Diceros bicornis minor: one gene and its partners. The protein of the gene in region 1 interacts with the protein of each later gene in a pairwise test. Links are inferred from orthologs where the notes say so. Each region holds a gene or a part of one and is shown on either strand. Other genes may lie near its edges. The genes, in order: KPNA3, ERCC3, TSSC4 and MAT2B.

What was found.
Region 2: the proteins of KPNA3 (region 1) and ERCC3 interact in binary tests that used the Homo sapiens proteins (3 or more experiments, as listed by UniProt). The link is inferred for Diceros bicornis minor from reciprocal best matches to the Homo sapiens genes KPNA3 and ERCC3.
Region 3: the proteins of KPNA3 (region 1) and TSSC4 interact in binary tests that used the Homo sapiens proteins (3 or more experiments, as listed by UniProt). The two-hybrid records come from large-scale screens. The link is inferred for Diceros bicornis minor from reciprocal best matches to the Homo sapiens genes KPNA3 and TSSC4.
Region 4: the proteins of KPNA3 (region 1) and MAT2B interact in binary tests that used the Homo sapiens proteins (3 or more experiments, as listed by UniProt). The two-hybrid records come from large-scale screens. The link is inferred for Diceros bicornis minor from reciprocal best matches to the Homo sapiens genes KPNA3 and MAT2B.

The regions. Positions count from the first base shown.
Region 1 is NC_080748.1:27,437,438-27,444,914, reverse strand, and holds the start of KPNA3 (importin subunit alpha-4), read right to left. Parts: upstream 3,001-7,477; 5' UTR 2,913-3,000; coding exon 2,844-2,912; intron 1-2,843. UniProt on the Homo sapiens protein: Functions in nuclear protein import as an adapter protein for nuclear receptor KPNB1. Binds specifically and directly to substrates containing either a simple or bipartite NLS motif.
Region 2 is NC_080749.1:5,633,543-5,640,964, forward strand, and holds the start of ERCC3 (general transcription and DNA repair factor IIH helicase subunit XPB), read left to right. Parts: upstream 1-4,411; 5' UTR 4,412-4,477; coding exon 4,478-4,505; intron 4,506-4,848; coding exon 4,849-5,054; intron 5,055-6,065; coding exon 6,066-6,302; intron 6,303-7,422. UniProt on the Homo sapiens protein: ATP-dependent 3'-5' DNA helicase/translocase. Binds dsDNA rather than ssDNA, unzipping it in a translocase rather than classical helicase activity. Component of the general transcription and DNA repair factor IIH (TFIIH) core complex.
Region 3 is NC_080770.1:2,325,155-2,332,121, reverse strand, and holds the start of TSSC4 (U5 small nuclear ribonucleoprotein TSSC4), read left to right. Parts: upstream 1-3,952; 5' UTR 3,953-4,078; intron 4,079-4,131; exon of another isoform or gene 4,132-4,774; intron 4,775-5,499; 5' UTR 5,500-5,652; intron 5,653-5,816; 5' UTR 5,817-5,838; coding exon 5,839-6,801; 3' UTR 6,802-6,967. Other genes in the region: CD81 antigen, read left to right, coding at 1-67, 363-491, 962-1,063, 1,583-1,669, 1,752-1,814. UniProt on the Homo sapiens protein: Protein associated with the U5 snRNP, during its maturation and its post-splicing recycling and which is required for spliceosomal tri-snRNP complex assembly in the nucleus.
Region 4 is NC_080740.1:78,415,253-78,423,225, forward strand, and holds the start of MAT2B (methionine adenosyltransferase 2 subunit beta), read left to right. Parts: upstream 1-4,955; 5' UTR 4,956-5,026; coding exon 5,027-5,089; intron 5,090-7,973.

The DNA of each region.
Region 1 (7,477 bases):
CCCACTCACAATTCTCTGGCATAACTCTACACTTTTATTTTCTTTAGAAAATATGTATTTCATTCTTGCATCGAGCATCTTATTTGTGTATCAGCTAGTTGTATAATTTATACTATATCTTTTATCTATCCTATATGTGAAAAGGTAGGAATGATATCTTGCCAGAGCGAATCTCACTGTTTTGAAATAGCCTGATGATCGCTACTTAGTCACAGAGCTAAATCGTAGTATAAGTTTTTAATGTAATATAGTTTCTAATGGATAAGACTAAATTAGTTATGGTGTTTAGTCTTAGCGATACCTAAATCCACAATAAAGGATCAGATTTGATTAGATTTGACCCCAGTTTACCCTTTAGTCACATCTCGAGCACTCCTTTCTCTCACAGCAGTCCTACTACATTCTCTCAGGACTCTTCAATTACTGCCACCTCAAGTCTGGAATGCCCCTTCCTTGCCCTCTCCCTTTCCCCGGCCAACTTTCTTTCATCCTTCAGGATCAGCTCATTCCCATCAATCCACCAGGAATCAACCAGAACATCTCTCTTGACTGCTCAGCTCCAAGTTAGCATCTCTTCATGCATTCTCAGAATACACTTATTGATGTACTGCATTGTAATTATCAATTTACTTTTCTATCATTCCTACTGAACAGCAATCTCCTTGAGGAACTGCAAACTCCTTGAGGGACAGACTGAATTTTACTCCCTTTTGATCCCCAAGACGTAACATTATCAGACACCCAATAGACAATTAGTGAACAAATGCTCGTACCCACTTCGTGACCTTGCGCAGGCTACATGAAGCACTCTTGAGTTTCCTCATCTAAAGTGCTTTCCTTCTGTAAAGTGGGGACAATGCCATACCAAGCTCATAAAGTTGTTATAAGGATAAAATGAGGTATCATGAAGCTCTTAGTTTAGTCTCTGTCATATAGAACTACCATTTGAATGTCTGCCATTTCACCCCTTCGTTACCCTAATGTATCCTGGGAAACGTGATGTTGTTACTACCAATAGTTTCAGACTGAAAGGCTTAGCAACCACGTATCTTTTTCATGCATCCAGAAGTCACTGGTTACATTCTGATCATCAGCAAATATTTATTGTGCACTTATTACATGCAGGAATCCCTACTAGGTATCACTGTGTTCCCAGAACACAGTAACAGAGGCAAACAATAAAACAAAAACCTGTAACAACACCCAAGAAAGGAAAGAAAGTTGTCAGCTCTTCTCTACAAACAACATGCTTATTTTTCAAACTACATAAGTTTTGCTTTATAACAGGGGTAAGCTTCAAGAACAACTACTGATGGAAAAAGTTCAAAATTAACTCCTATCATCAAGTGGACCAATAACAGGAGGCAGTTCCAAAATTTCTTGTTGCTCTTCCTAAGTTTCACTTTTGCTTAGAAGTATTTCTCACAAAAGAAATTTAACCATGACCGAGGCAGAGATAGACGACCTTTATCTGTCTCATTCAAACGGGAATTCCACAGTATTTCCCTAGGTTTTTTCCAATTAGTATTTAATTTTGGAGCTCTGAAAAATGGCCTGAGTTTTGTCTGGTTTTCTACGAAACAAGGCTGAATGGCATATTTTCCCCACCACCTTCTCTCTGAGACAAAATGCACACTTCCTAGTCACACTGGCCCCTTAGCAAGAATTACAAAACTGCAAATCATGTCATCTAGCATTAGAAAAAAAGACTGTGGACTTAAAACCACTTTCCCCCTAACAAATCCAGAGGTCAAAGTCCCAGTGAAGTTTATGCATTATACTACACTGCTTTTAGTAGCTGCAGAGAGACCTCTAGCGCTGCCTCAATAAGCCGAGTTTGCAAATAGTACCTGCTAATGTCACCTTAATGAGACAATGGCAACATGCTGAGTAGCAACGAACTGTGACCACGATGAATGTTTACAGTTTTGCAACCACTCGGAAATTCTTCCAGCTGGGAGCAAGAGGTATATATAAGGCCGTATGAACCTACGTATCCAATTTATTTCAGTAAAACATGTCAAAGAAATTATTATCCTATACACACCCTCACTACAAGAAAGGCTAAGAAAACAAGTCTTGTGAGCGGAGGTCGGAACAACGTCTCTTCCGAAGCCTCAACACAATAGATGGTAAACTATTGTCCACCTTCAGCTTGCTCCAAATGCCAGCAGTAACAAGAGTATGAGCTGGATCAGCTCAGCACGACTAGTCCAAAGGACAGCCTTGGAATATCAGAAAATGGTCCTGGCGCATCCTACCCTCCCCCATCCACCACCCTCAAACAAGTCAGTTACCCGGCTGGTCCCCACCCCCCTCTGCGGGCCGCCACCGCCCGCCTGGGCCCGGCTCGCAGGAGGCAGGCGCGGGGACCGGCAGAGCCGAGGCTCCATGTGCGGCAGGGCGGGACGCAGCGAGGGGCTGCGCCGGGCGGGAGGCTGCACGGGCAGCCGGCGCGAGCCGCGCCGCCCCCTCGGCGGTGCGGTCGACTGACCGGGGCGGCAGCATCCCCGGCCCGCGAGGCCCCGGCCCGCGGACCCCGCCTCAGCTCTACATCCCTTCCTCGCCGACAGCAGGCCGCGCCCGCGTGACGGAGCCGAAAACCCCGGCATTTCCCGGTCCCCGCGCCGGCAGCCCCGGAGGGTGGCTGCAGCCCGGCCCGCGTCCCGCCGTCCGCTCCGCCCAGCCCCGGGCCGCGGTGACGGCAGGCGGCGGCCAACTCTGACCCACCGCGAGCCGGCGAGAACCAGCCCGGCGCCGGCCCCCCGCCCCTCCCCGCCGCCGGGGGCCAGCGCGGCCAGGCGGGCGAGCCGGGCGGGCCCCGACCGCGGAAGCACACTCACTTCCACATCGCGGCCCTTGTTCTTAAAGCTCTTGATGCGGTGGTTCTCCAAGCCGGGGTTCTCAGCCATGGCTGCGCGCGGCTCCGGCGGCGGCTACTCCTGCGGCTGCGGCGACGGCGGCGAGTCTCGGCGCGGGAGGGGGAGGTGGGGGAGGACGGGATGGGAAGGGAGGGGGAGGGGGAGAGGCGAGCACGTTCCGTGACGCCTCCGAGCGCGAGGTGGCAGCAGCGCCGGGGGAGGCGCAGGCCGTCGGCCGGGCGGGGAGGAGTGGGGCGGGAACAGCGCAGAGGAGCTGCGCGCGCGCCCGGGGAGGCTGGGGGTCACGTGACCAGGGGCGGCCACGGGCCTGGACTCCGGCTGATTGTGCCCGGTTGTTCTCGGGGTGACTCCCACCCCACCCAACAAGGCCTTCCCGCAACCCCTAGGGCCTGCAAGTCCTGTGCCAACAACGGAGCCGTACTGAGCGGCTTTACTGCCCGCTAGACGCGGAGCACTGGGGGGGGGGGGGGGGACTACAGTTCCCAGCATGCCAGACTCCAGTGGGGGTAATTCTCCTAGCCTTGACAGAACGAAAAGAATGCCGGGAACACTAAGCGCGCGCCTTTCTGCGCGGCGCGCTCTGAGCTCCTTGTCGCGAAGCTCCGCCTCTAAGGCCGCCTCTGGGCGGGGAAGCGGGAGGAGCTTCCCCGGAGACGGCACCTTGCGCCCTATTGGGAAGGAGGGGGCAGGGCTTTCTGAGAGGCTCACCTCTCTCCCTGCAGCCTAGAAAATGCATAACCGACGCAGGGTTCGTGGTTTGCTCACTTGCTTCTCTGGGGTCTCGTGGAGTATCAGCCACCCTCCTTCGCTGTTCTCTTGGTCTGCTTTGGTTTTATAAATAGCATTCATTTCCACCTGACATGTACATATGTATGTATGTGATATGTGTGTTTATGTGTGTGTTACCTAGCTTATCGCACCGGAATTAACTCAGTAAGAGCAGGGACGTTGGCTGAATCCCTTGCATCAAAAGTGCCTGGCACGTCGTGAATACTCCATAAATACCTGAACAAATGAGCGCTCTAGCGTCTCTCGGTTTCTTCATCATCCTTCCAAGCCCGGTTCTGCAACCTTCATTATAGGAGGTCCTGCATTTCTGTGCCCCAAACACCTCTTGTTCCACCACCACACATAATCTTCTCAGCCTTTAGGCAGCAGTCAAGTACTCGTCCGCAGACTCGCCAGTCTAGCATCTCTCTTTAGATGTCATCGGAGGAATGATCAAGGGAAATTTGGATCTATAACACTAATAGAGTATTGCTTTCTGGAGCAAGTGGACTTCTTTGATTATATGTGAAATAATTCAGTTTCAGAATCTATGGCAGATAGAAGAGGTATGCGATGTTACAGTACAATTCAAATGACACTGAGGTCATTCAAACGTTGGTAGAAATATAACCATAAAGAGATTAAAGAAGACATTCTTTCAAAGCAAAGGGGCCTTGAAGAGCCTGGGTCCAGAGGTAAAAAAATGAGGCCTTTGGTGGCCAGGCTATGTCTGGGGCATTTGTTTTGTTAGTGATGGGACATTGGCTTTTTGATAAAACACAGGCCCATTTAAAGGCTTCAGACCATTGTTGCCATATTGTACTGTGGGCCAGTCTTGCCAAAGGTTCATTTTTTTAAGGCAAACCAAAAAGCTGGGTTCTTTTTACTTCATTTTTAAATGTTGATTCACATTTTCTAATGCACTTCTGTGAATCAGTCACTTTAGAACTCCAGGCTCTTACTTTGTACTATGTGATCCTAGTCCAACCACTCATTTGAAGAGGGGGAAAAAAACCAAAACTGAAGCTTAGAGTGAATAGATTGCTTCAACTCTAGTTCTTCAGGTGATGGAAAGTGCATGTTTGCCACTTTCGCTGATTGACTGGAAGAGAAACTTCTAGACTGTTGCTCAGTCTCTATTATAATTGAGCAAGGCATTCTCTTTTCAGGTTACTTTACCCCCTGCTACCACTTCTCTTCACCCTACTTGCTGTCATCAGATGTGTTGTCTTTCATCATTCTGAAGTTTTAGACATATTTAGTGAGCACTTACCATGTGTCAGTCATTGCACCAACACTAGGATACATTTGTAAACAAGACAGCCTGGTTCCTGCTTCCACACAGCTTCGTGTCTTTCAGAGTAGACAGACAATAAAATAAGTGGTCACCCCAAAAGTGTGGTGGGTGTCAAGGCTCACAGTAGGGAGATCTTTATAACCTGCTGATTCCTAAGACTCCTTACATATGAGGGCAAGATCACAAATGGAGGTCTACATAGCACATATATAAATATTTAAAAATTATACATCAAGCTTACAAACTTAAATAAAATATATTCTAACCTTTGACATTGACAAATGCACTTCCTTTGCAACCTGGAAGTCTGGGTTTGAATTCTAACGTCCCAACTTCTTGGACTTCTGCTTCAGAATTTGGTGGTGCAAAGAGGGCTGGAAGCCAGCCCCCAGCCCATTTTTTGTTCTTCTTCTCTTCCATGTCCCGGCGCCATCCTATACTGGAATAGACCTTAAGAACATGTGTGCATACCTCTACCCACGAAGTTCAAGTCCTGCTTCTCACCACTAAAGCTCTATTTACATCCCCCTACCCACCTCAAGAGATGCCCCTTAGCCATTGCTCAGGCCTAGAGCGTGCAAAGCAGTAGCATCGTGTGCCCCCAAAGGGATGGACCCAGGAAAGAGGCCTGAGAAGGCCCTGGAAGGAGGCGTGGCCATTGAGCAGGGAACCCCAGGGCTCTGGTATCCAGAGCTGGGTCTAGAGGCAAGGTTCCAGTGAGCATGAATCCTTGGCCGCATGGACTCCCGACGGGGAGTGGTGCAGCTGAAGAGAGCCAGAGTGAGGTCCTCTAAAGGGCAGGGTCCAGAGCAGGGCCCCCTCTTGCCCAGGTCTAACTTAGTCAGTTTTACTCTTTGCCATTATCCCTGGTGACTTCAACATCCACACACCTGGTACCCTGACCCCAGAGTCTCTCCACATTCTTAACTCTACCAGATTTCTACCACTTGTAGCTCCCACCAGGCCTTAGAGTTCTTAATCTCTGGGAAATAACTGCCTCCAGTGACTCAAATTTGGTGCTTCCCGTTGTTAGCAACCATCTCCTCTTTTCCCTCACTCTAGTCTTTGCCTTTGCCCTGAAACTTCTCCTGACAACTCTTCTTTTAAATAGATTTCTTTTCCAAACATATTTTTAGTATCCACCATATATCAAGCATTGTATCCATCAGGGACTTACATTAAGGAGCAGGGGAGTGGGGAGCAGAGCAGAGACAGGAAGGAAGGGCCCTCAAAGCCTGGGTGGTCAGTCACACTCTTCTTCTTCCTCTGACTCACCACCCACCTTCCCAGCGGATAGTCAGGTGGCAATACGCAGAAGGCAACACAAACACAACAGATCCAACATGGAGTTCCTGATTTTCCTCCTGAAGCTCTTTCTGCAAATTTGCCTACTCTGTTAATGGCATAACCATTCTTCCAGGGACTCCACTCAAAGCTAAGAGCCATCTTTACTCCCTGCCTCTCTCCCAACTCCCTCACCTAGTCACCTTGTTAATTCACCACTCAGTGCTTCTTGAATCTGGCTCTTCTTCCCATGCCACCCACAAGTCCACCTTAAGGCATCCTAACTGGTTCCCCTGCCTCCTCCATCCTCTCCACAACAATCTGACTAACTTCTCCAGATCTTCCTGATTTTACCTCTTCTCCCCACATCCAGTACACCCCTCCCCCTCACCATTGTCAAATCATTTCTAAATTCCTCAGTCTGGTGGTTAAGAACATGTGTGATCCAGCCACAGTGCAGTACACTTTTCTTATTTCTGACTCCCCTGCACAGAGCTTATGCTTCAGCTAACATGTTCTACTCAACCCTTCCCAAGTATGTCTTAGCCTTTCCAGCCTTCATATCTTTGCTGTTCAATTTATCTATAAAGCCCTGGCCCTATCTCTACCTGTCAAAATTGGTCCCTCTTTAAATGCTCAGCCTAAGAGTTTGCCCTCTCCGTGAAGCTTTCCCAGCATGGTGCAGTAGAGGGACCGGCAGAATCTGAACACTCAGACCCACTCAGAGTTCTGAACACTCGGAATCTGGTAGGGTTGACTTCCTACCAGAGCAAGCCCAGGCAAGTCACCTTCCTTGAACCATCTTCTCATCTACGAATGAGAATTCTGAATCGCTGGGTTTTTGTGAGAATTAAGTTGGAAGTGCTTTGAAATTGCTACATTAATGTTAGTTGTTAACTGTCTTTCCAACCAGGAGTGATATCTTCCTCTCTGAACTTCAGAAGAACTTACCTACTGTTTTGTATTGCTAAAATTTGTGTAGTCTTAACTCTCTCACTCCCCTGTAAACCCTTGAAATAGCTTGTACATATTTGGGTTCCCCAGCCTAGAATAATTGGATCTCATGCATGTTTTCTGAATGAATAAGTGAATTAATGAGTGAATAAATGAACTCCTTCCTTCCCTCATGATCATGTTTTGGCTATTTCACATCTCTCTGAGAGCACCTGAAGCAAAAAGTGAATACAGAAAATTGAAGAAAATGACACTCAAATTCATCAACCCACTCACCTCGCAGTGCTCTTAA
Region 2 (7,422 bases), on another chromosome or scaffold:
CCCCTAGCCCCTAGTAACTACCACTCTACTCTATGTTTTCATAAGTCCAGATTTTTTTAGATTTTACATATACATACAGTATTTGTCTTTCTCTGTTTGACCTATTTCACTTAGCATAATGCCCTCAAAGTCCATCCATATTGTCGCAAATGGCAGGATTTCCTTATTTTTCATGGCTGAATAATATTCCATTGTATATATATATACCATATCTTTATCCATTCATTCCTTGACAGACACTTAGGTTGTTTCCATATCTTGACTATAGTGAATAATGCTGCAATAAACATGAGAGTGCAGATATCTTTTCGAGATCCTGTTTTCATTTCCTTTGAATATATATCCACAAGTGGTATTGCTGGATCATACAATAGTTCTATTTTTAATTTTTTGAGGAACCTCCATGCTGTTTTCCATAGTGGCTGTACCAATTTACACTCCCACCAGCAGTGCACCAGGGTCCTCTTTTCTCCACATCCTTGCCAACATTTGCTATCTCTTGTCTTTTTGATGGTAGCCATTCTAACAAATGTGAGGTGATATCTCATTGTGGTTTTCATTTGCATTTCCCTGATGATTTGTGATGTTGTGTCCTTTCATGTACCTGTTGACTATTTGTATGTCTTCTTTGGAAAAATGTCTGTTCAGTTCCTCTGCCCATTTTTATATTGGATTGTTTGTTTTTTTTGTATTGAGTTGTATACCGTCTTTACATAATTTGGATATGAACCCCTTATCAGATATATGGTTTGCAAATATTTTTTCCCATTCCATAGGTTGCCTTTTCATTTTGTTGATTGTTCCTTTTGCTGTACAGAAGCTTTCTAGTTTGTTGTAGTCCCACTTATTTATTTTTGCCTTTGTTGCTTGTGCTTTTGGTGTTATATCTAAAGAATCATTGCCAAAACCAATGTCAAGGAGTTCTTTCTCTGTTTTTTTTTCCTATGAGTTATATAGTTTCAGGTATTATATTTAAGTCTTTAACCCATTTTGAGTTAACTTTTGTGAGTGGTGTTATTTAGGGGTCCAATTTCATTTTCTGCATGTGGTTATCCAGTTTTTCCAACACTATTTATTGAAGAGACTATCCTTTCCCCATTGAATTTTCTTGTCAAATATTAGTTCACAAAATATTTTTTTGTTTTTATTTTCTTATTTTTCCAGATTTATTAAGGAATAATTGACACCTAAAATTATATATATTTAGGTGTACAATGTGATGATTTGATATATGCATACACTGTGAAATAATTACTACAATCAAGTTAATTAACACATCCATCACCTCACATAGCTAATTCATTGTGTGTGCGTGTGTCTGTGTGTGTGTGTGTGGTGCTAACTCTTAAGATCTACTCTCAGCAAATTTCAAGTATACAATACATTATTAACTACAGTCACCACGCTGTACATTAGATCTTTAGAACTTATTCTTCTTATAACAGAAAGTTTTTACCCTTTGACCCATCTACATTTAAAGTAATTATTGATAAATAAGAACTTACTATTGCTTTTTGCTAATTGATTTCACATAGTTTTGTAGTACTTTTGTTCCTTTCTTCCATCTTGCTGTCTCACACAAAATATTTTCTTAATGTTAGATTAGCCATTCTTCCTCATCATCTTCAGTAAAATTAACCAGGTTTGGCAGAAAGAGCTTTAAAAAAAAAGGCCATATGTTTAATCCACTATTTCTATTTCTCAGAATTTGCCTTAAAAAAACAATCCCAGATGCAGTTAAAGACTTATATCCAATGATATTCATCACAGGGCTATGTATAATAGGATAAACTGGAACTATCCCAATGCCCCAAAATTAGGGTTTGACTAAATAAATTATAATACTGCCATACAATGGAAAATTAAGTACTCATTAAACATTCATTTTAATGAGGGGTGGATAAAGCTTATGTTAGAAGGATATAAAATTATATGTTCAAATAACATCTTCATGGTGTAAAAAGAGCAACTCACAGAAAAAAAGCCTGGAAGAAAATAACCCAAAATGTAGATAGCTAGGGATAGTGTTATCCATGATTTAAATAGCCTTTGCTATGCTTTTCTCTGCTTTCCAAGATTTTTACATGGCATGTATTACTTAAATCAGAGGGAAAATATAAAAATGCAAAAACCAGTTTTACAGGTGTGGTTCTGGGGCCAGCCCGGTGGCGCAGCTGTTAGGTGCACGCGCTCCGCTTTGGTGGCTCGGGGTTTGCAGGTTCGGATCCCGGGCGCGCACCGACGCACTGCTTGTGAAGCCATGCTGTGGTGGCGTCCCACATAAAGTGGAGGAAGATGGGCACGGATGTTAGCCCAGGGCCAGCCTTCCTCAGCGTAAAGAGGAGGATTGGCATCGGATGTTAGCTCAGGGCTGATCTTCCTCACAAAAAAAAAAAAAAAAAAGGTGTGGCTCCTCCACTTCTTGAGTAAGTGAAATTCATTTAGGGCAGAGACCAACAAACCTTCAATTTACTGAAGGTCATTAAGCTGAGAAGTGATCTCTACATTGCCAATCCTGTGGCTGGGTCTCAGTCTTCAATTTGCTCAGCTGATCAGCAGCATCTAATATAGCCGATCACTTCCTCCACCTTAAAATGAAATGAAATAAAAGCAGGACTTCCAGGACTCCTGATTTTCCTCTCCCACTGACTGCTCCTCAACTGGTGTTGCCCAGTTCTCCTTCATCTTCCAGCCTCTTCACTGTGAAATGTTCCAGACCTTTGCTTTAACTACATTCATTCCCTAGGTAACCTCAATCAGTTCTATAGCTTCAGTACCACCAATAGGTTGACAATTCCCAAACTTATATTTCTAGGTCCCTGAACTTTAGACTTACATCCAACTGCATTCTTGACACTTCATTTAATTGTCTAATAGGCCACTTCTATGGACTGAATTGCATCCTCCCCAAAATTCATGTTAAAGCTCTAACCCCCGACGTGACTGTATTTGGAGACAGAGCCTGTGAGGTGATAAAGGTTAAATGAGATCATAAGGGTGGAGCCCTAATCTGACAAAGCTGGTGCCCTCATGTGAAGAGGAAGAGACACCAGAGAGCTTGCCTTTCTTTTAACTCCCATGTGAGGACATAGTGAGAAGGCAAGAGGGTGGCCAACTGAAGCCAGGAAGAGAGAAAGATCTTCATCTTGGACTTCCAGCCTCCTGGCTGTGAGAACTGTGAGCTGTGAGAAAATAAATTTCTGTTGTTTAAGTCACACAGTCTGTTACAGCACTCCAGCCAACTAATATAGCCACTCACATTCAAAATGTCCAAAACACCTTTCAATCTGAACCTTCCCTAAGGTACACCATTTTTGCAGTTGCTCAGACCAAAAACCTTGGAGTTCTCCGTTAGTCCTCTCCCTCACTTTCCATATCCAGTCAGTCAGCAAATGCTGCTCTAACTTCAAAATATATTCAGAACGGAATCACCCTTCATCACCTTTATCCCTACCACCCTGGTAAAGCCAACAATTTCTCAACTGGAGGGCAGCATTAGCTGCCCTTGACCTTATAAAGTCTATCTTCAACATAGCAGCCAGTGTAGAGTGATCCTTTAATACTAAATCAGATTGTCACTTCTCTGCTCAAAACTCTCCAGTGGTTTCCCATTTCAAAATAAAATCCAAAGTTTTTGCAATGGCCTACAAAGCTCTACATCAGTGGTTCTCAAACGTAAGCATCAGAATCTTCTGGAGGGCCAGACTGTTGGGCCCACCTGCAGAATTTCATGATTCAATAGGTCTGGGATGGGGCCAGATACTTTGTATTTGCGCCTTTCTAATTAGTTATCACCAGTTTCCATATGATGTTGATGCAGCCAGGGGACCCCATTTGAAGAACCACTACACTACATGTACTGTACTATGTCCTCTCCCCTACGTCTCCCAGCCATACTGCTCCCTCTCAGCCTCCTCTTCGACGACGCCAACCCTGTGTCGGCCTCACACCTGTGCCCGCACTGCTCCTCCCTGGTACTTACATAGGACACTGTCTCACTTTCTTCAGATCTTTTGCTGAAATAACACCACTTCAGAGGTTTTCCGGGACCACTCCATTTAGAATGACACTACCTGTCACTGCGGGCCGTTTTATTTCTCTTTAGAGCTCTTAGCACCGTATTTGTTTACTGCCCACACCTCTCTACTAGAACTTAAGCGCCAGGAGGCCAAGGGCTTGACATTGTTCACTGTCCTACCCCAGCGGCTAAAACAGTGCCTGGACGATCACAACAGGTGCTCAACAAATATTTCATTGACTGACTACAGCAAAGAATGGGGAGAAAGGAGCCTCCGCCAGGGTCACACCACACACGCTGCTCGGCCGCCACGCGCCGTCGCCTGCCCGGCGACCCGGCACCCAGAGGCGGGACTTCCTGTGTGGTTGCCGAAAGAGCTTCCTGTGTGAACCGGAAGTCTCCCTGGGACCTGTAGCCGCGGCGGGCCGGCGGCGGTGGTGGACTGGGGCTGTAGCCGCCATGGGCAAAAGAGACCGGGCGGAGCGCGGTGAGACGCGGCGGGGGCGTGCCTGGGCCTACCTGCACTTGCCGTCTCCGTCGTCCTGTGTCGTAGCTGCCCCGCGCTGCTCGACCCCGCCGCCCCTCGGCCTGCACACCCGTGTCCCGACGGGCCGCTGGGCGGGGGCGAGCTTGGGTCTTTGGGCAGCCCCGCGTCCTGCCGGGTGGGAAGGTTTGAGGGAGAGTCGCCCCGGCTGCAGGTGGACCCCTCTGGGAGTGCGTGGCGCTGGTGGCAGACGGCTGCGGTCAGGTTCCCCCGGAATGCAGCTGGGCGGTGCGGAGGGGACCCTGGGCTTCTCCTGCCCGGCTCACTTCTGTGTCCGCATCTGCAGATAAGAAGAAGTCCAAGAAGCGGCACTATGAGGACGAGGAAGAAGATGAAGACGACGCCCCCGGGAACGACTCTCAGGAGGCGGTGCCCTCGGCGGCCGGGAAGCAGGTAGATGAGTCCGGCACCAAAGTGGATGAGTATGGGGCCAAGGACTACAGGCTGCAGATGCCGCTGAAGGACGACCACAGCTCCAGGCCCCTCTGGGTGGTAAGCATGCTCTCAGCCAGGCAGGGCCCCAGAGTCTGTGGGGCCAAAGTGGAAATGCAGGGTAGTGCTCTTAAGGACTGGCTGGAAGAGAGCTTTCCTACACAGTTTGAACAGCCCGAGATGGGAATAAGCAGGAGGGATGCACACATGGGCCGGCTAGACGTGGGCTTCCTTCATCTCTAACCCCTCCTTTTACTCCCCTTCCCTCGATAGTTCTACTGCATATTTGGAAATACTTTTATCTACCAAATAAATGGCATTTATTATGTAACATTTTAGTTCCTCGTTTTTATTTATTTTTTATTTTTATTTTTTTTGGTGAGGAAGATCAGCCCTGAGCTAACATCCATGCTAATCCTCCTCTTTTTGCTGAGGAAGACCGGCTCTGAGCTAACATCTATTGCCAATCCTCCTCCTTTTTTTTCCCCAAAGCCCCAGTAGATAGTTGTATGTCATAGTTGCACGTCCTTTTAGTTGCTGTATGTGGGACGCGGCCTCAGCATGGCTGAACAAGTGGTGCGTTGGTGCACGCCTGGGATCTGAACCCCGGGCTGCCAATAGCGGAGCGTGTGCGCTTAACCACTAAGCCATGGGGCCAGCCCCAAGTTCCCCATTTTTAAAAATTAATGGGAGACATATATATGTATATATTTGGTAGGCAACTTTTTGCTCAACTTGAAGTCATTAATGTTCTACATTTTATTTGAAGTCTAGCCCAAAGGGAACTTGAGGAGAGCCAGTAAGGTAGGCTTTCCCTGTGAAGAATAGTGGGAAGCAGCTACTGACTTTGAAAACCTTTACTTCTTTTCCTCTCTGTTCTTTGTATCTGATTAAGTAACAGGCCCCCCAGTTGACTGAAGGAGTGCTTACAAAAATATCCCTGGTGTTGAAACACTTAAAGATCACTTTTGGGGCAGCTTATCTCTTCTAGATAATGATAAGAGAAAGAGTCTAATAATCTCTGCAACTCATTAGTTTCCTTGTCTGTTGTGACGGTTTGGTGTTTCTCAGGCTCCTGATGGCCACATCTTCTTAGAAGCCTTCTCTCCAGTTTACAAATATGCTCAAGACTTCCTGGTGGCTATTGCAGAGCCAGTGTGCCGACCAACCCATGTACATGAGTACAAACTAACTGCCTACTCCCTGTATGCAGCTGTCAGCGTTGGGCTGCAGACCAGTGACATCACTGAGTACCTCAGGAAGCTCAGCAAGACGGGAGTACCTGATGGGATTATTCAGTTTATTAAGGCAAGTGGAGGCTGAGGCTGGCTCTTTTGCCCTACTTGTCAATGTGGTAATAGTGGAGACAGGTGCTACATTTTGTTAACCTGTGGCGGTCATGAAAATGCCATTCAGAGCTAGTGTGGGGAGCATAAAAACTGATTACCCTAGCTGCTGCTTCTCTGGATCCAGCATTGTGTTCTTGCTGAGGCCACACTTACCATGAGCTGCTGTTAGCCAGTGGGTACTAACACAGTGGGGGTAGTAATTTAGGCCCATTCTGGCCAGGGTTATTTGGGAATGCAGTGCAAAGTGAATGATGTTATGGACTGAATTGTATCCCCTCCAAAATTCATATTGAAGCCCTAACCCCTAATGTGATTGTATTTGGAGTAAGGAAGTAGTTATGGTTAAGTGAAGTCATGAGAGTAGGGCCCTGATCCGATAGGATTAGTGTCCTTATCAGAGGAGACACCAGAAGACTCATGTGCTCTCTTTCTTTCTTTGCACATGCACAAGAAGAGGTCATGTGAGCACACAGCAAGAAGGTAGCCCTCTGCAAGCCAGGAAGAGAGCCTTCACTAGAAACTGAATCCCTGGCTTCTTGATCGTGGACTTCTAGAAATAAGTTTCTGTTGTTAAACCACCCAATCTGTGGTGTTCTGTATGGTAGCCCAAGCAGACTAATACAGGTGGTAAACTCCATCTAAGGCTGAATACCTGCACCAATGGTCACAATTTCCATTAGGGAAAGTCAAAAAGAACTTCAGATGTTGAAGTGGGTAGGGTTCCATGTGAAGAGCACCTTGAACATGCTTGGGTTTGTTCTGAGAGATACGTGAATGCCATTTAGAAGAGATGGACGGTGGCTTTTGGTGCCCTCTGCTGGTCTAAAGGGAGTTGGATTCAGACCCCTAAATCTGGAGTGGCAGAAGATGAGTGCCATAGGCATCCAGCACAGTAATGTATCCAATCTCAGAGAAGCTGGCAGGAGCCCTGGAGAGAGTTTTCTCTTCTTGTGTGTGGAAGGGTGCCCAGGGAGAAGGGCCTGCACCTCACTGGAATGAGCCTACATCAGCACCCTGGTTGTGCTCAGTCTTGGCTGGGAGCTGCCTACAGGAATGTAGGTGTTGGTGCAGTGCTGTGA
Region 3 (6,967 bases), on another chromosome or scaffold:
CTGTCTGGTGATCCTGTTTGCCTGCGAAGTGGCTGCCGGCATCTGGGGCTTTGTCAACAAGGACCAGGTGAGCCTGAGTCCATAGGGGAGGGCCAGTCCCAGCCCGGAGGGGCGGCGGGGGGGAGCACCTGCTGCTCAGGCTGTGGGAGACGGGTCGGGTTGCGGGGTGCTCTCTGGGACTGGCCTGGGAGGGAGACCACAGAGGGCTTTCTGGAGGCGGTGGCATGGAGGCAGGGCTGCCCGACTCCCAGCTTCTGGGTTGCAGCTGGGCTGTCCTGGAAGTGATACCTTCTGGGAGAGTCAGGTGAACGCTGTCTCTGGGGATGGTCCCCGCTGTGCATGTGACCCCACCCCTCCCCCAGATCGCCAAGGACGTGAAGCAGTTCTACGACCAGGCCTTGCAGCAGGCCGTGACACTCAGCAAAAGCGACAGCGACAGCGACAACGCCAAGGCCAAGGCCAAGGCTGTGGTGAAGACTTTCCACGAGACGGTGCGGGAGATGGGGGGAGGCGGGGAAGGGGTCGAGGGGGACCAGGGGAGGCCAGGTGGATGAAGGTGTTTGTCCCCTCAGTTGAGGCCCAGCTAGGCCTCAGCCCAGACCTCCGGAGCAGAAGGGACACTTGAGACCTGGCAGCCCTCTCCTTGAGGGCTGTGGGGCCGTCTGCGAGCCCTGTGGGGGCTTCTCTGGGACCTGTGGGTCCCTGGTGGGAACGAGACAGTTCAGGCCGGCTGGGGTTCATGGGTCTCTGAGCAGCACAGCTGAGTGAGAGGCAGGGAAGGAGGGGGCGCCTGGGTTTGGTGCTCCCCCTGGAGGGGACTATCCCACCCCCGCAGCACCATGCCAGGCCGGGGCAGCTGCTGGGGCCCCTGCAGCCTGTGGGATGCCTATCCTCGTGCATCTCCCCTTGCGTCATCTTGCCCGCGCCCAGGACTGACCGTGGGCATGCTTGCTCTCTGCAGCTCAACTGCTGTGGCTCCAGCACGCCATTCGCAACGACCACCCCTGGGTTCAGGAACGACCTGTGTCCCTCGGGCGGCAAGGTTATACCCAACTTATTCAAGGTGTGGGTGGTGGGTGGGACCTCCCAGGGGCTGGGTGGGGCTGGGCCTGCCTGCTCCCCCACTTCGCTGCCACCCTCCCCTCTCAGTGGGTCCTGGGTGGTGGGTGGGCCACAGCTACACAGCGGCACTGTGGCTAGAGTCAGGGCTGTTCTGCCTGTGGGGCTGGGCCAAGGCTGAGTTTGTACTGACGGCCCATAGCGGGGCGACTGTGCCCTGGGTTCCCAGTGGGGGAGCTCTCCTCCTCCGCTAGCTCTACCCGTACCCGAGCAGGCATGGAGGGCGCCCTGACCGCTGGGTCAACGCCCATCAATGCCCAGTGATCTCTGAGTGGAACAGGGAGCACACAGCCCGTCCCTCGGTTCCACATTTGGTTTAAAATGGAGAGACTGGGTGTTGTTCACACCTCTTCTGAGGGGCAGGGGCCGTGCCCCTCCATGCTCTTTCTACAATGATCCGGCTGCTGCAGTCCGGGGGTCCTGCGGACCAGTGCCCCTGACCGCCTGTGGCCATCCCCCACAGGAAGATTGCCACAAGAAGATCGATGAGCTCTTCTCGGGGAAGCTGTACCTCATCGGCATTGCCGCCATCGTAGTGGCAGTGATCATGGTGAGCGGGCAGGTGGGGCGTCTGCTCAGAGCCCTCCACGGGTCTGTGGGTGCTGACCAGCTTGCCCGCCCCCTCCCCGCAGATCTTCGAGATGATCCTGAGCATGGTGCTCTGCTGTGGCATCCGGAACAGCTCCGTGTACTGAGGCTCCGGCCACTCGGGCCGCAGGCCAGGCCGGTGGGACCCCTGCGGCATCCCCAGGGCGACCCGGACACTTCTGCAGAGGGCCTCTCACCACCTGTGTATATAACTTTTCTGGTATTATTACTCTGCTGCACTTATTAGTCTTTTTACTTTTGAGGTTTTGTTTTGGTCCTGAAGTTCCCCATTACCTTCTGGGGTTGATGTCACCTGTAGGTGGTATGTGACTGGACCCTGGGGACTGCAGGGCAGGGGCCCCCTCTGCCCCTGGGGCCGCCTGGGGGCTCTGCCTGCTCAGCCAGCCCTCTCCAGGGGACCTCGCGGGCCTTCTGGTGGAGCTGCATCCTCCCACCCACCTGTCCCCATAGGCTGCAGGGCTCAGGCCGTTTTTAATCCATGTTCCTCTCCTGCCACCTGTCTCTAGAGCGGGGTCTACGAGCGGCCTTATGCCTTTAATGCACCTCTCCTTTCTAACGTGTCACCTTCAACTGTAATTACATCTTGAAAGTCATTCAATAAAGAAAGAAAAACCAGGCATGCTCACAAACTGTCCAGCCCCTTCCTGTGCCTGCATCGTCCAAGACCCAGGGGGTGGCCGGAGGGGAAGGGGAGCCTGGCACGCATGGGGCTTAGCTCTGTGGACCTTGCTGGGCCCAGGGTGTGCTGCCAACTCTGTTGGTGGGTGAAGACAGACCCCCCCCCCCCCAGGACAGCCCCCTTTCTTGGGCCCTGTGCCACCTGCAGCAGTCTCCAGCCAACCTCTCCCCTACTCCTCCTGCTGCACCACTGCCTGGAAGGAGCAGGGGGGACAGGGCGGCCAGAGAATGCGGTGCAGCAGATGTTTGAGGTGGGGGGCCTGCAAGACTCTCCTGACGGAGGGCTCTGTGGAGGCTGGACGCCTGGCCCCGGCCCTGTCCCTCCCCGTCTAGGTGCCTCTAAATGTTCTGTTGAGGAGCTGGGTGGCTCAGGGCTTAAGCCCCATCGTGCAGGCGCTGGATCAGAGGGCCTCTACGACTGCCTGCGGGAGCCCACCTGGCCCACCACGGTGGACTGAGGTCTAGCTGCCTCTTGGATCTGGCTGCTGCCCCGTCTGGAAGGCTGGGTGACATCACTGTGAGCTATAGGCAGGCACGGACCTGCGTGTGTGTTAAAATTGACCCCTTGAGGCCACAAAGGCCTGGCTGGGATTCATGTCGCGGGCACCCGGCCGCCTCCCTGGGGGCAGATTTTGGAAACGAACCCCAGACCTGCGCTGGGGGTCGGGGGGGAGGGTCTCAGCGGGCCTGCCGCTCTCACCATACCCCTCCACCGAGCTTGCCGGGTCGGGTCGGCCAGAAGGACGGGATGGTCGAAGAGCCCCCTTTTTACCCGGGGATGTCCTGGCCAGGGCTTAGGTGTCTGTCACCTGTAAGCTGCGATGTGACACTACACAATTAGTGCGGGGGGGGGAAATGGGGAGTCCCGAGGCTGCACAGGAACGGGCCCCGTTTCCTCTCCGGGTCCCTGGACTCCGGGGATGCAGCCCTGGGAGAGGCCGAGGTCCGGCCGTCCAGCAGGCGGGAGCCGAGGCGCCTGGACTCGGGCACGGCGCGGCCCAGCGGGGAAGGGGCGGGTGGCGGCCGCTGGGCCCGGGGACGAGGGACAAGCGCCTGTCCAGGGAGCCGGGGCCTGTCCTCCGCTCCCGGGCGGAAGAGACCAGCTGGACCATCAGCCATCGGCAAGCAGGCTAGCCCGACCATGACCCCCTCGGCGGCTGCGACGAGCACTCTACCTGAGGCGCGGCCTGCTCCTAGGACCTACGACGAGCGCGATCAGCCGCTTCCGGCCAGGACCGGAAGTGCCCGGGAACAACGCTGCGCGTGATGATGCACTTCCGGCCTGAGGGACTACTGTTCTCGGGCCTTCCGGCAGGTGGCGCTGAGGCCCAAGGAAACCGGCGCCAGCAGTTAGCCCTCGAGCATTCTGGGAGTCGCAGTCCCTTCTCCTCCCTTCCCTCCTCTCCCTAATCAATTCCGGGCTCTTGGGGAAGGAGTTCCGACGTTTCCGGGGAGGGGAGGTCAGGGAGAGAAGCGAGGGCGCATGCGCAAGGACTACACGTCCCGACAGGCCTCGGGAGTAGCGGTCCAGTGCCTTGTGGGAGATGTAGTTCTTCAGGCGCGGAAGCCTTGGCGCTCGGCCGGCGGAGGACTCGGTTTCCCAGAGATCCGAGCGCGGCGCAGGATGGAGGCGGTGCAAGATGGAGATGGCCGGGCGGGCCACCGTGAGCTGGTAGGTTTGTGGTGAGGTAGGACGGCGGCGCAGGCCGGTTGGGTCTCGCAGGCTGCTGCCCCGAGCCCTGAGACCCCAACGTGCTCTTTGTTCCTCATGTCTCGCGGCCTGGCCGTCGGGCCCCCGTGCCTCGTGAGGCCCGGACACTTCCTCACCCAGCCCGACTGGGTCCCCAAGACCCAGGCCTCGGCACGAGAGCCTGCTGGGCGCGAGTGCAGGAAGTCACGGCTCTGCCTCCGACGGGGAGAGAACCGGCAAGGAGGCCAGTGGTCCCGCTCCCGGGGACCCCCGACCCCTCAGCCCGGACTCGGCTCTGCCTTCTCTGAGCTCCCGCAGTTCCCAGAGAGCTCCCAGAGACAGGCTCCCGTCTGCCCCGAGCGCCCCGCTGGTCAGGCGTCTTGTCGTAGGCGCGGCGGCGTCCCCGGCGGTGCAGGGGACGGGAGTGCGGATTTGGGGAGCCGGGGTCTGCTCGGAACTCCAGCCGTGCGTGCGACGTGCTGTGTGACGGGCAGATTATCTGTCCCCCCGGCCCTGCCTGCTCTGGAACCCCCCGGTGGGGTGTGCTCCTCTCCTTGTTCTCTCTTTTAGTCGTTCCCTCGTTTGGGAGTCATGCCGCAGAGGAATGGAGATCTCGCCCGTGTCTGACCTGGTGCGGGGCTCTCGGGGCCGCTCCTGCTCCGCCTGGCCAGGTCTTCAGTGGGAGCAGGAGCAATGGGTCACCCTGGGCTAGGGAGGCTTCTCCGGGGAAGGGGAGTTGGTGGACGGATGGGTGAGGCTGGGCTGCCTCTGAACCTGGAAACAAAGCTGCGGGTGCCTGGTCACACTCGGACACTCGAGTGTCCTCAGCAGTTCTCTGCTCAGCTGGGGAAGGTGGGGGTGTGTAGCGAGTTAGAGGAGAAATGCTCTAGGGGCCGCGGGGGCTTGCCTCTGCCCAGCGAGGCTGCTCCAGGTGATCACTGACACCCAGTTCCCTGAGAGCTTTGACCCTCAGGTGCCCAGGACCTGGCTGCAGACCCCTCTGAGCTCTCAGAGCAACTCCAGCAATCAGGAGCAAACCTGCTCCCCACAGACAGGGCAAAGTGCTCCAGTCTTGGTGGAGTACTTCCTGGGTGCCTCGCGCTGTGCTGAGCAGTTTATGAATGACCCTCCTTGGTCAAGAGTGGTAGTGTCAAGCAGAGGCTGCTCTCATCTCGGGGTTCAAGCCCTGGCTGGCCGCCTGCTACTAGAATTCCCCGTCCCCCAGCAGGCCCCTAGTTGTCAAGTTAGGCTTAGCTCGAGAGAATTGAATGAGGTGACATGACAGAGGGCCTGCTCCTGGACCTGGCCTGTATGGGGGCTCCGGAAACCCGGGTCCACTCCCGGGGTTGTGGCACCACTTCTGCACGCTCACTGTGGTCTGATGGCTGGCTTTCCTTCCCCAGTCTCAGCCGCCTACAGTTGAGCCGCAGCTGAACAGAGCTGTGCCGGGGGACTTCTGGGACTGAGGCCACCACGCCTTTGCCGCCACGGACCTTTGGCAGCGCTCCTCCCACCAGCACTCCAGTGTCAGCACAGGCACCCAGAAGACAAGGGAGGTGAGGAGGGCTCTTGGGGAGTGGAGAGGGACTGTCCCTTCCTTTGTAGGACACAGTTCTTTCTGCTGATCCTGCTGCCTGCTGGGTGCAGTAGGTCTGCAGGAGGAGTTTGTTCTAAATGCGTGCTGTTCTCAGAAACTGTTTGCTGGGCTGTTTTGGTCTAGGTGTGGCGTGGCCTTGGGACACATGGCTGAGGCAGAGGCAGGCGAGGCCTCTCTTGGCTTGGACGTCGAGCAGGGGACAGAGTATAACACCCTGCCTTCCGACACCGTCTCCCTTAGCGACTCAGACTCCGACGTCAGCCTACCGAGCGGTGCTGATGTGGAAGCTCTGTCCCCAGAGGGGCTTCCTGGGGAGGCCCAGGGGGATTCAGACCCCGATGAGTCCCCCTCATCCCCCAGGGGCTTCCCCACAGTTGAGGTGCAGGCGTTCCACCTGAGAGGCACGAGCACCACCTTCTCTCAGCGCAGCCACAACATCTTCGACTGCCTGGAGGGGGCAGCCAGGCGGGCTCTGCCCTCTGTGCCCCAAACTGGCATGGGTGACAATGGGGGCTTCAAGCGGCCCCGGCTGCCCTCAAGCCAGCCTCCAGCAGAGGGCCTAGGCAGGCCTGTCCCTGACTACGTGGCCCATCCCGAGCGTTGGACCAAGTACAGCCTGGAAGACGTGGCCGAGGCCAGCGAGCAGAGCAACCGGGCCGCCGCCATGGCCTTCCTGGGCTCCCAGAGCCTGGCTGCCCCCAGCAACTACGTGCCCTCCTTCAACCAGGATCCCTCCAGCTGCGGGGAGGGAAGAGTCATCTTCACCAAACCGGCCCGAGCTGGCGAGGCCAGACCTGAAAGGAAGAGGGTCCTGAGGAAGGCGGGAGAGCGGGGCAGGGGTGCCCCTGGGAACCCAGCAGTGGTGGGGGGTGAGGGTCCTGTGGAGCTGGCCCACCTGGCTGGGCCTGGGAGCCCGGAGGCTGAGGAGTGGAGCAGCCCCTGTGGGGTCCTGCAGGAGGTGGACACGCCAGAGGGGGCCGCCCACACCGGGTCAGCAGCAGGGTCCCCAGTGGTGGAGACTGTTGGCTTCCACGGCAGCAGGAAGCGGAGTAGAGACCACTTCCGGAACAAGGGCAGCAGCCCCGAGGCCTCGGGTGCTGAGGTCTGAGAGGAGAGACTGCCCAGCCAGCCTTCCCCAACCAGGCTGCCCGTGGGCTGGTGTTGGAGGGGCTGCCGGGGGCCACTGCCCACATAGGGTGGCTTTAGGGGCAGGTGCCGCGGGCCCCGTCCCCACTCCTTTGGGAAGGGAGCTGACGGGCTGCCTGCAGGTGGCG
Region 4 (7,973 bases), on another chromosome or scaffold:
ATTATAGCTCTTGTTGTTGTTATGCAGATATTTCCAAAAATCTATGTGGTCTACTTTGTTGATCTTTTTACTTTTGGTTTCTGAATTTCATGATATGCTTATAAAAGGCTTCTTCACTCCATAATTATTCTACACAATTTCCTCTAGTACTTTTGTTCCACATTTTACTTAAGCTATTTTAATCTATCAAGAACTTATTTTAGTATAAGTGAAGTAGGAATCCAGCCTTATTGTTTTTAATGATTCATTTTTAATTTATTATCTTTATCCCCTAATAAATTCCCATAGGCATATTTGAATCTAGCTGAGTTGATTAGTATAATAGTATCTTTCACACAAACCTGGGAGGTTAAGAGAAAGATCAGGTTTGGTGGACAAGATGAAGAATTAATATTAAATTTACTTTCAATTTCTTGGAACTGTGAGTTTGATATGCCAGAGGGACATACAGGTAAAGATGCCTTTTAGGCATCTGGAATGGGGAAACTATAGCTTGGGAGAGAATTTGTGTCAAAGCCATTCATGTGGGTGTCAGATTCACAGAAATGGGAACAGCTGGGATGGCCAAAGCAGAGGGTAGTTTACAAAGAGAAAGGATGTTGTGAAAAAGAAGAAACAAAACCCTTTGTTTTTGCCCTTGGGGTATCATAATAACTTAGAGATGTATTTCTCAAACTTGAAAAATGTATGCATACCCTAGGAAGGAAAAAGATTTTGACTTCTTAGATCCTAATGAGTTTAGAAATTTAAATACTGTCCATTTAATTCATGACTTGGTACCAATGCAAACGTTAACACTATCTCAAATACTAGATCCTAGATACTAGATCCTAGAAATTGTTGACCGAGTCTAAGGTTGGGACCCAAATGATCCAAAATATGTATTATTGTTTTAAAATTGAGGTATAAATTATGTACAGTAATACAGATAGTGAAATGAACACATCTTAACTGTTACATTTTGATGAGTTTTGATAAACGTATATACCCATGTTACCCACACTCCGATCAAGATATAAAACACTTCCATTACCTCAGGAAGTTTTTTATGCCCTTCACAGTCAATCCCTACCCTTCCCCTAAGGCAAGATAATTTCTTTCACTATAGATTAGTGTCACCTGTTTTAGAATTTCACCTGTCTCTGGCTTCTTTCACTCAGCATAATGATTCTGACATTCATTCATATAGTTCACTTCTTTGTATAGCTGAGTAAAATTCACAGTATGGATATATCAAATTTGTCTATCCATTCATCCATTGATGGACGTTTGGGTTGTTTCCAGTTTTAGGTTATTTTGAATTAAGCTGCTATGAATATTCTTGGGCAAGTATTTATGGATATATGCTTGCATTTCTCCTGGGTAAGCACCTAGAAGTGGAATTACTGGGCTGTGGGATAGGTATATATTTAGCTTTATAATAAACTGCCAAATAGTTGTCTAAAGTGGTTGTTTTTGTTATTTTCCCACTAGCAATGGATGAGCTTTCTAGTTGCTCAAAATGCTTGTTCGCATATGATATTACCAATCTTCTTAAATTTTAGCCTTTCTGTTAGGCATGTAATGGTATCTCAATGTGATTTTAACTAGCGTTTCTCTGATGTTGAGAATCTTTGTATGTGATCCTGGCCATTCTTATGTCTTCACTTTGTGAAGTATCTGTTCAAAAATTATGTTCATTTTCAAAATTATTTTTTAAAAATAATTGAGTTGTAGGAGTTCTTTAAAAATTCTGAATAGAAGTCCTTTTCAGATATATGTATGCAGATTATTTTTTCCCAGCCTGTGTTTTGCTTATTCATTTTTTTAACATTGTCTTTCAATGAACAGAAGTTTTTAATTCATTAAAATTCATCAATTTTAAAAAACTGTATAGTTCTTCATTACTTCATTACCTCTGCATGCCTCATAGAGTTTAACATGTGCTGTGTTCTCTAAGTGGTTATAGAGTTAAGTGATTTTTTCTTTTAGCTCCATCTGAATGGCCATTTTGTTGTTGTTCTTAAATCGTTACAGAGCCATAACCCAGAACAGTGGTTCAAAATTTAACTGAGGTTATTCATCACTTTTGTAATTGTTAAAAATAAGATTGCTGGGCTCCACTCCTGATTTTGTTTCATAGGTTCTGTGGTGCAGGCAGGTTTGGGAATCCCTGATCTAGAAGTCCTTAATGTTTGGCCAAACCTAAAGTTTTTCTCAAACAGAAGGCACGACAATGTTAATGGAAATGACCAGTTGCAGTTTCATTTCTGCCTGCTGTTACCACCGGTGCCTCTTACGGTCCTTTGACATAGTTAATTAGAGAGCACTGGGGGTGGGGGGTGGGGGGAAGCACTGGAGAACTTTACGAAATAGATTCTGTTGAAATAAGGCATAATGATACAATATTTCAAAACAGGACTCAATTTCAACAGAGAAAATTTCAACAAGTCTTCAAGGAAGTTTTTTTTTAAATAAGTTGGTTTTCCTAATGGTTTTGCTAATAAATCCTCACTTGGCTGGCAATTAAACATGAAACTTCTCATTGGGTATTTTCGAGACCGCCACGGGGAATCAGCTGCCAGTTTACTGCAATGTGGAAAACTGCACGAGATTCTGGGATTGGAATCAAAATGCTAATTTAAAAGGTCGAGTGAAGCTGCGGCTCCCGTTTTTGCGTGCCTGCGCTCTGTGCAGGCATAACAAAGACCGAGCCAGAGCAGGCAGAGGCTGAGACACAACCCAACTCTATTTTCCTGAGATAATTTTGGAATCATGCCTGAAATGCCGGAGGACATGGAACAGGTAAGAGCTAGCTATTCATGAAATGAAGTATTCTGGAGTTAGAGTTGCTTTAAAAGCATCCCAGTGAATGTCAGGTAAAAGCCGGAAGGTTGTGTTAAAAAAAAAAACGAAAGAAAGAAAGAAAGAAACGGTGTCATTCATTTCCTTGAAACATATAACTTTGGGACATGCAAGAATAAACCAATTTAAATTTGGGAACCAGGTTACGGAGAGCTCAGCTAAGTCTCGTTAATTGACAAAAATAAAATGCAAAACAGAACAGCAGTTTCATTTACCAGATTATTTGCAATGATGTAGGCGAAGTTTCTATATAAATAAGGATTTTATCTATAGTTGTGTGCTCCAGCCCTTCTTTGTCTTGGCATGAATCAGGATGCTCTCTTTAAACTTATAGTCTTAGCCACACGAAGTTGAATATTGTCTGTATAACGATGGTGTTTTTGTTCACAAAGAAACTTTCATCTTTAAACAGAATAATTAAAAATCATACACGAACATATGCTCCTAGAACTATACCCAAGTTTTACCTGGCAAGTATCAAACCATATTCTCAAATAATAGGCAACTAAACTCTTTTTGATCCTCACCCTAGGCAAGGCTGCTCTGAGCATCAAAATGCTAATTGCATATGCATGTCCTTAAATCTTTTTCACGTTGAACACTTAATTTTTTTCCCAGAAAGATTAGATTGCATCACACCTTGCAACTAGAAACTTTAAAAAATTTCCCAGTTTTTAAAGGGAGGAGGATTAAGAGGATCTTGAATCTGCTTCCCTGAACTCACACTTGCCTTTTCTTTGTTTGCAGATCATGCATGTTTAGTGCTGGGACAGTTCTCTGAAGGACTTTCTAAAACTGATTAACAGTAACAGCCTGGATTAAAACAAAAATCGAAAAGTGAGGGGCCTCAGGCGCCCTTCCGTTACTGTTCCAAAGAAACTTTATATTTACACAAAGAAGGAAATGAGTTTTTTTTCTTGGGGGTTGGGTAGGAAGGAAAGTCACGGGACTCAGACGTGAAATAACTTTTTAAAAAGGCTGCTTAGTCTCTAGCTGTAAGCTTAAACCAAAAAGGATTACGAAAATAAGGCCTTTTAGAAAAGATCCCAAGCAGTAGTCACGTTTGTGGGCGACTTGTAGGTCTTGGTATCCCGTGTGTCTGGACAAGGACACTCAGAGTGTTCGGTGACAAGTTGGGGAACCCTACAGGGTCTAGGCTGGTTTTTTTTTTTTTTCTGAGTAAATTTCACAGGCGCCGCGGCTGGCGGGGGACTTGCAGGTTTTGAACTGGAAAGGCAATCATTTGCCTGCTAGGGCAGCCTCAACACTTAGAGCTATTTCTCATCTATACTTAAAAGACGCGCGTTACAGGTGGCAGAAGGTCCAGCAGTGCTCTCTTCCCTTGGTGCCTTCTTTAATTTTCGGTGATTGCAGAGGCTCGGCACCTGTAGCCCAACTCGGCAGCCCCTAAGGCGCTGCTTCTCTAAGGGTGCTCTTAACACATGTTAAATCAACTAACTGGAGTCCCACCGATTCTCATTCTGATTATTGGGCAGGTCCGAGAATCTACGTTTTGAAGAGGCACCCAAATAATTCATCCCCCTTGCCCCCACCTTTTTAACTTGTTAAAAATGGTTTGCCATCTTTGGAATTTCACACGTACTATTCTTTTAGCATCCCAGAAAGACAAATGGGTTCTTGAGGTGTTAATGACTCAAATGCCAACACTTTTTTAATTCCATGCCTCTTTCTAAATCTCTCTAGAGATACTATGTCCATTGTGCTTCCCCTCGCCTCACTGCCCATGTCTTTAAAATATTTTATCCCACTTTATATATATTACATGCCCAGTTGTTTCTTATGCACTGCTCACAGTCTGCAAAATTGAAACTCGAGGCAATCCGATTCAATCCTTCCCTACACAAGAAGAAAGAAAGCAGAGAAACAAATCCCCCAACATAAAACTTGTGTTGGCTGTTTAAGGCCGAGGCCTTTGTTTCGTGCAGCCCTTACGAGTTGGCGCGTGGGCCAGGGGCGGCCGGAGGGCCCCCTCGCCCTGCCTGGGGTGTCGGCGGAGCGTGGCCAATCACCGCGCGCGGCCGGGGCGGCGGAAGCCGGAAGTGGTGAGTGGGGGCCGGCCCGGACTCGGGGAGGCGGGCCGAAGGCGACGGAACCGCGGCCCGTAGCGATCCTGGGCTGGGGAAGTGGCGGTCGCTGCGGCGGCGGCGCGAAGACGGCGGGCATGGTGGGAAGGGAGAAGGAGCTCTCCATCCACTTTGTTCCTGGGAACTGCCAGCTGGTGGAGGTGAGGGAGTCGGCCCGGGGGTCTCGGAGTCGGGGGCGCAGAGGGAGACGGGCCAGGTCGTGGAGGCTCGAGTGGTTTTCCAGGCGCGTCTTGCCGAGTCGGGGCCGCCGCCGTGATTCGCCTCGGCGCCGCCTCTCCAGCCCCGGGAGGCGAGGGCGGTGCCCCCAAGTTTGTTAATCTCGGCGCGCACCCGTCGGTGTTTTCTTTATCAGCTGCTGCGGCAGGAAATGAGTAGGTCGGATTTCACTTCCGAATCTTCTGCCTTCCTAGGAACGAAGAGGGATTTTCAGAGCTGTTGCAGTTTTGATTCTTCCTGAATTTCTTTTTCATCCTTTGTTCGTTTTCCTCGATCTTACCAGGTTGTATCTCTAAGAAGGGGAAAGGAGGCTTTCCAGAAATTATGACAGTATTAGAGATGACAATTTACTGAACTCTTAGTTTATACGAGGCACTGTTATGCACTTTACATGTATTATTTACTTTAATCCTCATAACTGTGAGATCTGTTTTTGCTCCATTTTACGGATGAGACAATCGAGGCTTAGAGGGTGAGTCCTTGGCTCAAGTTCATTGAGTAAGGTTGGAGCCGGGATTCAAATACAGGTCTGTTTGACTGTCTCAGGCTTTGAAGCACTACGGAGGTTGCATAAAGGAAGGCTATTACTGTGTTTGCGAGAGCCATCCCTGGCATTCCCCCTCCCCTCACCCCACCCCATTCTCTCTATTCTGTTCCAAGCCCCCCAGCATTCATCAGTCCACAGGGGATTAGAAGACTGTTAATGCCCAGACTAGTATGTCTTATGGCTATACGAAAGGATTTAGGAGACGGCTGTTTTCGATAATGCAAAAGGTTTATGCCTCCAAAATGTTCCATATTTAGTGTTTTCAAATCGCTTTGGGATTTTTGGGGGTAAAGTTAGGATGGATGGGCTATTAAACCTCTGTATTGTTCTTATGTACCCCAAACAATATTGAATAGATAATGTTACATATTGTTTACTTTAATTTGTATGCATATGCATACATGTATGTATATGTGCATGTATAAAGCTTAATCAGTTTTCACAGTAGGAGTTCAGTAGACTAATGGAAATGGGTTTTCCTTCATTAAAAATGGTACAACCAAAAGCTTGGCACATATTTGCTGCTCTCAAAACCTGTGGAATTAAAATTCACTCGTGAGAATGAGTGAATTTTGAAGCTAGTCTTATAGTTGATGTTAGATAAGCAGACTAATGGTTTCTGTTAATAATACTGGCTGTGGAGTACAATAGGGTGACAGCAGGAGTTAGACCAGTGTCACCTAGGTTGTCATGGGATCATAAAAAGTTTCTTACAAGTCTTGGAATGTCTACTGAAAGATCTCCCTCCGGGGAATGTTGTGAGGACCAATTAAAGACATGAATATGGAACTTTGCCAAATTTAAGAGGTTCTGAAAATAGCAAAGTATTATTATATTTACCACTAAAACTTAAGAAGATCCCTCTTTAGATGTTAGTAATGTTTCAGTCTTTACTTTTTCTAGGACATTTTTAGTTAGAAGTTGATGCAGGTGTCTTCAAGTAGAAGTCACTGTCCCAGAGTACTGCTTTGGACCGTTTTTGAAAGAGCTCTTTATCTCCCATTACCTATACAGTTTGGTGTCATTTAATTAAATAGTATCATAAGAGCAGTAGTTCCACATTTATTTATATGTATTTAATTTTTTGAGAATTTTTTTGGTGTCTATAAACCTGGTCACCTGAAGTTATTGAATTCTGTACGTCTAAGAGTTTATACGATAAGAGGCAAATGTGTTCTCTGAGTAACTTAAAGTGATGTTTGAGATACTTAACCCATAAGATAATGAAAATTGAGAAAGTAGGCTTTTCAGGCAGAATATTTTGAACTCTTGATTGCGGTTTGGGTTAACTAGACAGCTTTTTATTCCATTGTAAGTTCCTCGAGGTGTTTGGACATTCCTGTTTTGCAGGACTAAAATAATTTATAGAGTAATCGTCCAAAGTAGTTTTTAGAGGAGTATTTCTTTTCTTTTAAAAAGAAAAAAATCAAAACTATGCTTTTAAAAGCTTCAGGTAGAGTTCTGTTTGTATATAGAAACTCAAAAATAGAACAGTTATTTTTGTTTGGCATCTTTTAATTTCAGAGTGATGCATATTTTATTTGCCAACCACCAATAAAGTTGCAATCCAAATGAAAAAATCTTGTTTTGGCTCCTTACTGGTGACAGAAGGTGCTCAATGAGTCTCAAGAGAATTATGTGAAAAGAGGAAAAGTTATTTAAGTAAATGAAGCTCCTTTCACTCTATTGAGACCCCTTTGTGGTAAGGATAACATGGAAAATGTTAGAGTTTTAGAACTGTAAAGCTGGAAGACCCTTAGTCATCTTGTTCAAATGCCTCATTTTACCAATGAGGAATTAGATCAGCAGAGATGGAGTAACTTCTCAATACTGCAGTTTGTGGCAGAGCAGATTAAATTTAATCATCATGAAACCAAATATAAGTTCAAAGGATTGAGACAACTCTGTATGTATTTGGCTGACCATAGAAGCAAGACGACCTAAGTTCTGGTCCCAACATTTTCCCCGTTACTGTGGGCAAAACCTTTAACCTCTAGACTTCAGGTTCCTCACTTTGGAAATAATAACTGCCCTGCCTAACAAGGCTATTCTTATGATCAAAAAGTATGATGTAGGTTTATATAACAAGTGTACAATTGTGCAGAATCATTTCTGTTTGAGAAATTGCTTGCACTTCAGATCTCTGCTCTTTTAATAAAGAAAATTTTGAGCAGTGACATCTGACCACCGAGTACTGTGAACTGTTTCATATTTTCTTTTAGGGACCTTACATATTGCCCCAGGGTATAAGGATATAAGCT